2 linked regions of the Drosophila melanogaster genome follow. The gene in region 2 interacts genetically with the main gene of each other region. Each region holds a gene or a part of one and is shown on either strand. Other genes may lie near its edges.

Region 1 (3,755 bases), on a different chromosome or scaffold from region 2:
TATGCAGGAATATTGTAATTTTCAAAACAGTATTTCTCTCAGTGTACCGCATATCAAACGATGATAGATGTGTGAGCGGCATACGGTGAATCCGTTACAAAGCGGCAGGGGATGAGCACGCGCCCTCAGTTCTCCAGATAAACAATATGTATGGGAACGCCGCCAAGCGCAACGATGCCACCAACTTGACTTGGCCAGCCCTCATCGCGGTCGAAATGGTAGAAGCCAGAGTTCCCCCATTTTGGCCCGCTTTTAGGCCGCGTGCCTCGTACCGCTTCGCTAGATCGGCGGCACCCGTGGCGGACACGAGTGCGATGGAATTTCGGTGTCGCCTCAACTCTGCACATGTCCTGCCATGGAAATTGCGCCAAAAACTAGGGGATGGGAACTAAAATTGCTGACAAGGAAAAGGATCGTTAAATGTGGAAGTGTAAGTGTGCGCCCGCCACATTTTCTTGGCTCGTTTTCTAGGCAGGTGTGGCCCGCGCCAAGGATAGATAAACTGGAATTGAGGCGGCCAAGACGAGGTGGCCAAGCGTGGCGAGCTACCAACTCAGGAGGAGGACCCCGAACTCTCATCAAGGATAAGCTCGGAAAAAGGTGCATCGAGCGGTAGAGGGAGAAAGTGGCAGGTGCTCAGTCGTCCTATCTGAGTGGTTTAATAGCTACGATCCAACGAGAAGATGGGGACTTTATGGCTTAGAGTTTGGTATTGGTTTTAAATTGACTGACAAAAGAATTCAGTCTTTTAATTTTATTGAAATGCTTTAGGAAAATACGACGAACTGCAAAGTTTGCATTGAGAAATTTAACAAAAACTTTGTTGAAAGTTAATGTTCTGAAACCAAACCAAACTATTTGTTAAAACGGTTTTAAATGGGAAATCTGATATTTTGATAGCTATTAAATAAAATCTGTCCTAATCTTATGTATTTAAATGTAACATTATTATAATCAAATATGTCATTTTGGTAAGGTAGATTTTATATAGAAATATAACAAAAAAAATTCTACAATAATTTAAATAAAGTTTATATATTTGTGCATTGGTTGTGAAGTAGGTTTACGTCAATCCTCTAAAATGTAATAACACTTTTTATGGATGAAGTCTAAAGCTTAAAGATTAAATTCACGATGTTGCTTTAAACTATTTACCCTTATTGGGAGAAGCGCAAATAAAAATGAATTTAAACTTAATTTCTCCTATATTTTACTCGCAATGTATTTTTAATAATTAATACAAAAATTAATTTTCATCACATTCAAAATTAGGAACCCATTTGTAATCCTTGTCAAATCTAAAGGTAATCTAAACAGTATCTACAAACATGGAGAGTTGCCACGACAGATGTTAGATCCTTGGATTCATCCACCTAAATATTTGTATGCTACCCCGCCCCATCCCGCCCTCGTCCTCTCCCCCCTTCCACCGATCAGCAGTGAAATCCTCTGCCGATTGCTGGCCCTCTCTCGCTTCTTCTCCCTTGGCCAAAGTACCGATCCCGATATTCCTGAGCCAACAACAGTTGGTGGCAGCAACAGAAAGAGCAAAGGCAATTGTAACTGTTACAGGGCAGCGGGAAAAGGATAACAAACGCCCGCCAAACTTTAAGTGCATACCAATTAGTAGGGAAACGCGTGCTGGAAAACCAGTAGTAGATGGGCCAAGAGGATACGAACGCAGGGGGTTGGGGTATCGAGATCGCCAGGGGACTCCTAACTGTGCGTCTTGACCCATACAACATGGAACACAGGACTGCAACTGCCGCCAACTGCTGCCAAAGGTGAAAAACCAGAGTTGGCAACACGAACACCAACACCAACAATACATTGCAGGGCTCTCGAGAGCCACCACCAAAAGAGTCAACACCAATACACCGAGGGCTCGTTTTGATTCGGCTTGCTGCCGCACTCACACAGTGCCACAAGTAACCACAGTCGCACACAAAAATAAAAAAAAGAGAGCTCGATTTGTACCTTTTTTTCGGGCCAAGTCGCTTCACCGTTGGCTCAATTTAGAACTGAGCCATCGACCAAAGATTCAGTCAGGTGCGAAGCACCGAGCGATACGGACGTGTTCGTCTCCAGTGAGTCAAGATAAAACCGCACTGAATAAGACCCATCGAAGATCCGTTCGAATCCAAGATCACAACGCCAAGAAAGTGAGATTTGTGCAGTGAACAGTATTGAGAAAAATCACAATCCAAAGACTGTTAAAGCAAATACGTAAATCAGATCCAGTGAGATTCCAAAAAGTAAAGATCCAGAATCAAAATGAATCACCTATCGCCGCCGCCATCGCCGCACTCCCAGCAGCCGAGTCCCGCGGGATTGGGCTGCCATGGAGCAGCTCTGGACAAGCAGTGGATGCAGCGGGCATCCGCCTTCAACACTGTGATAGCCTCCGCCGCAGCACAGAAACTCAATGGTCGAGGTGAGTTCCCGATCTGGATTGACAGAAAAATATATGGGGCAGTAAAGATAGCAAAAAGATTAGCTTATAGCTTTTTAATCGTTTCGAATTGTATTTAAAAGATCACTCGATTTAAAATCAAAATGTTAACACTTTCAACAGATCAGAAAAATTATGTTAACTTTACTGTAGTTCTTACCAATACAAGAGTAACTTTATATTGATAGGCATCCTGAGGATACTTTTCCTTCCTAATCTTAATCACTACTATTCAACTGATTCGTTAAATTTGCATTTCATAGATCTGCCCTTTTTGTACAACCCGCTGCTCTACTCGAGTGCCCTACTGTGGCCCCAATTTTTGTTGTCCTCGGCCACGGCTCTGGGTACACCACTGACCCCCATGACCCCCAAATCGCCCGCCTCTGTGGTTTTGGGTCAGCGGGATCGTGACTTTGCCTTGACGCCCGAAAAGGAGCATGAACTCCAAATGAACAATAACAATGAGAACAGCAAGCAGGACTATCAGGAGCAGGATGAGGATATGCCACTAAATCTAAGCACCAAGGAGCGCATCACATCGGATGATTCCAACCGAGATCAGTATCACAGCAGCAGCAACAACAGCAGCAGGAGCAGTTCCAGCAGTGAAGTGGAGCAACTGCATCCGATGACCTCGCTGAACGTTACCCCGCCTCCCCTGAGCGCTGTGAATCTAAAGAGTTCGAGTACACCACAGCAACAGCGCCAGAGATCGCAGGGTAACATCATCTGGTCACCGGCCTCGATGTGCGAGAGATCGGCGAGAAGGGAGCAGTACGGCCTGAAGATGGAGGAGCAGGGCGATGAGGAGGAGCACCAGGTGGATCCTATTGTGCGAAAGTTCAAGTATGAGCGCAGAACTGCATCCATATCCTCGCTGCAATCGCCGATCTCCTCGCTGTCCGCTCCCGCCTCGAATGCCGTCCAGGATCTGGAGTTCGAGGTGGCCCAACAGCAGTTGTATGCCCATCGCAGCGCATTCATGGCCGGATTGACGGGCAACAATCTGGAGCTGCTCACCCAGCACTTGAAGCTGAAGAGCGAGCAGCCGCAGCAGCAGCAGCAACAGCATCGCATCAAGGACGAGCAGCAGCAGGATAACCGCTCGGCAGCGGCACTCATGAATTTGGTGGCAGCCGCCGAATTCGGCTACATGCGTAATCAACACCAACAGCCGCAGCAGCAGCAGCAACAACAGTTGCATCACCAGCAGCAGCCGCAGCAACATCAGCATCAGCAGCAACATCCTGACTCGACGGCCACAGATGTTGCGCGTCGTTCGTCCTCCTCGTCATCTTAC
Region 2 (3,755 bases):
GTTGCGCTGTTAATTGGTAAGTACGCGACATTTCTATCAATCAAACATAAAAGTCCGCGTTCATTTCCATAACAATTTTCCCGTAATATGCTGCGCATGCGCAGGATAATGAAAACGAGCCCACGAGAAATCCCGCGGTGGGAATTAGGGAATCAAAAGAAATCCCACAATAAGCCCCTCGCGAATGCCTCCGCCCACGCCTCTGCATGTGCAAGCGGGATGGCCAGAGGCAGGAAGTTCTGCGTGCGAGCGAGAGGCAGCGTGCACCCTTAGCGCCGCTCATAAATGTCAATGGAAATGAAAAGGCTGATGTTATTGTTTTTTTTCGTTTGTTTTTGGATGGAAAACAGAATGAACAACATGTGGGTTTCGCTTTATTAAACATCGCCTGGAGGAGGAAATGCCGAAGAGGCTCTACACACGACAAAAAATATACAAACATTCTAAAGACTCAAAACACTATGCTTAAATATTTGCAAATTTATTTTAAGGTCTTTCAGCACAATGATGTGATGTATTGATGTATAAATTTAAGGTTACTGTTTGTAATTCATTAAATATGATTGTTTTGCAATTGATTCCAATCCAGTTTGATTACTTTTTAAGTCGAGGTTCATGTCTGAATTTCATTTTTCTGTGCAACCAGAAGGTATTTATAAATTGAGCTCAAAAAAATAAAACGCACGAAAAATGTTCAAAAAATTTGCATATGTCAGTGTAACAAAAAACCGAAATTGATGGATGGAAAAAAGTCGGCGACTGAAAAACACACACTCGCGGGCTTAAGCCAAATAAGCTCTAAACGAAACGAAACGAGTTTTAACAAAATATTTTTGCATTGCTCAAACGCAGCTCAGAGCCGTCAGAGAAACAAACACAAATGCACGCCGGGGCCAAATAAAAGCCATTCAATTAATATCCGGACAGAAAACAACAAACAAAAGTCGCTGCAATTTTTCTGGTTTTATTTGTTTTGCACTGCTCCCATTTTGTGGTGTTTGAGGGGATATGGGAATTCGATAAACAAAATCGAAATTGGCCAAAATCGAAGGGATGTACCTTTTTTTTTCTTATTTTCGTCACCACTTGTTGGTCTTTGTTTATTGTTATTATTCTTTATTGGCACTTTCGGTGGCTGCGACAGCTGCGCGAACTAACGGTACGTGCAAATCGGTTGCGCAGCGCAGACGGATTGGCAACATAACCGTAATCGTTTGTTTTTGTTTTCGTTCTTTCGATCACTATCACTTCATCGATACTTCTTTCCCAAAACAGCACACGTTTACGCACCGAAGTTTTGGGAACACATTATCCATGCTGATATAATCCACGAACTCGACTCGACTCGATTCGATTTGATTCGATCCCTCGCGCGCGCTATGTAAAATTACAGATAGTGGCGCGATTCGGTTGCTTATATAGACTTTTTGCCATTTAGACGGACCGTTTATGGTAGTTTGAAAAATGCATGAAATACATTGAAGAAGCAAATGCTGATTGCCCACCTCTAGGGATCTCGCTCTTAAGGTTGTTGTCCTCGCAAAGCACTGGCGAGGTAAGAAACTTGGCTAAACCAGGGACTGTACGCACACACTGCTTGTATGAAGACGTGAGTACTGCTTGCTTAAGAGTGGGCGGAGCTTATTTAGGCACACTGCTTGCCACCCTTAAGTGAAACTTTGGCCGGAAGTAAAATTAGGGGTTAATTGCACGGCACTTCAGCCAATCAAACCGGGTTTCAGGCCACACTTCAGGTGTTTAGTGGGAAGGGGGTCCTTTTTTTTTATTATTATTATTAGTAAGCAGCATTTTAGGCGCCCCCGCTGCTGCTGTTAATTTTCTGATGTGCCGCGTAATTTGCTTTGTTTTTTTTTTTCACCCAGTTCCTCTGCCGACGTCGACGTCAGGATAAGCGTCGCTTGACCAGCGGAAGTAGAATTATTTGTGGCACTTCAGTCGCTCGCCGATTACCCAAGTGATTAGTTTGGACAGCTAACGCGGCACATCCTCAAACGAAATGCAACGTCACAAAGTTGAGATTGGCTCACCCGACGGCTCGCCGGGCATCAAAAGGAGTGACAGCTTAGATCCCATAGCGAACACTACGATTCTATCCGTGCCGCAACGTCCCTCGTCGCCGCGACAGTTTTTCGAACGTCTGTACGGGCATTTGGAAACGCGCTCCTCGGAAAATGGGGAAATCGACGTCGGAACACACGCCCACAAGCCGCCGCCCTGTGACACGCCCTATCACAGCGATGGAGGAAGCGTCTCCTCGCCAGACATTTCCATCAGCGATGAACGCACCTCGCTAGCCGCATATCCCGCCTACGATTTCTATGGTCACGCCAAGGACTATCCGCAGCATCCTAGCCAGCAGCACCAGCAGCATCATCATCATCACCATCATCCGCCGCAGCTGGTGCACCAGAAACTCAGCTACGTGAGCCCGCCGCCAGCAATTGCCGCCGGTGGAGCTGCGAATCCTGTCCTGCCACACGCATTCCCAGCCGGCTTCCCAAGTGACCCGCACTTCAGCGCCGGCTTTTCCGCATTTCGTGAGTACTTACATTTAAAAAAGAATGGTTTCTAACAATGTGTAGAATATTTGCAAAGCTATGCAGAATCTTTAGAACTACGAAAATAACTTCTTCAGAACCTTAACTCTTACATGTTTATTTTGAGGTTTCTTAGTTCTTACACACTAAGTACAAGAGTAAATTTGAGCTACTACGAATTTGGTCCTAACTAGATATTTAGGTGAGCGGGGATTTGTACTACGGCGGGGGCGAGGATTTCTTTGGCTTTCCCTGCTTCGCTGCTTTCTCCGCCGCCGCCTTCTCCTCCCGCTGCTTAGCCATCTGGCGCAGCTCCAGGCTGAGGAACATCTTCAGGTTCGGGTCGGTGATCTTGCTCAGCACAATCTCTCGCGCCTCCTCATCGTTGTCGCCCAGCAGCTTGGCCAGCGTCTGTGCGTAGTCCAGCCAAACGCAGTTGGCGCAGCCCGACATGCAGCAGGTGGTGGGCTCGGGAGGTATCTGCAAACGATTATATAATATGCAATCTCTTGAGCCACTTTCCTCTTAGGATAGAAAGTTATTTCAGTATTGTGATAACAATTGGATCCTTCGATAATACTGCTCAATAGTTTTAGAAGTTCATAGAACTACACTAAGTTTTGTGTTACAATACTAGATCGATGATCCTTTCTTTCTAATGAACTACAATCTTACCAACTGATATTTAACCTATAATAGCAATGATAACAACTAGCTTACAACATTACCTCTATGTTTCTGAGCCGCTTCCTTCCCTTGGTGGTTTTATCTTTGGCTTTGGGAGTGTCAGTGCCCGTCGTTGTGCTATTGGGCGGACAGCCACTTGCTGCCTCCTGGGCGGCCGCATCCTTGCTGCTGGCATCATCCTGGGAGCTGCTGCCCGACAATTGGCGGGCCAGTGAGGCCCAACGCTCGGCGCCACGTCGCAGGAGCAAGCATCGCGGACAGCTGAAGCCCAGGGGAGCCAACATTTCCGCCCGATCCCCGAAAGAGTTCGAAAGTTACGATTGAAAAGGCCCAGAGGAAGTGATGAGCATTTCACACGCCTGCGCAGGTGCAGCCCAGATGAACTTGGTTCCGCAGGAACTGCAAAAAAAAAAAGTCGGATACGCAAAAAAAAACTGATTAATCGTCAGTGCTGCAATATTGAATATCCCCCACATCTTCGCACCGAGTGCGCTGGCCAGGATTATGTAA

What was found.
Region 1: of ro (region 2) and sens, changing one suppresses a phenotype caused by changing the other (phenotypic suppression), as found in Drosophila melanogaster (one study listed by BioGRID).

What each region holds. Positions count from the first base shown.
Region 1 is NT_037436.4:13,399,427-13,403,181, reverse strand, and holds the start of sens (senseless), read left to right. Parts: upstream 1-2,056; 5' UTR 2,057-2,274; coding exon 2,275-2,434; intron 2,435-2,715; coding exon 2,716-3,755.
Region 2 is NT_033777.3:26,879,368-26,883,122, reverse strand, and holds the start of ro (rough), read left to right. Parts: upstream 1-1,951; 5' UTR 1,952-2,017; coding exon 2,018-2,558; intron 2,559-2,663; exon of another isoform or gene 2,664-2,777; coding exon of another isoform or gene 2,778-3,038; intron 3,039-3,286; coding exon of another isoform or gene 3,287-3,529; exon of another isoform or gene 3,530-3,644; intron 3,645-3,755. Other genes in the region: CG5500 (uncharacterized protein), read right to left, coding at 2,778-3,038, 3,287-3,529.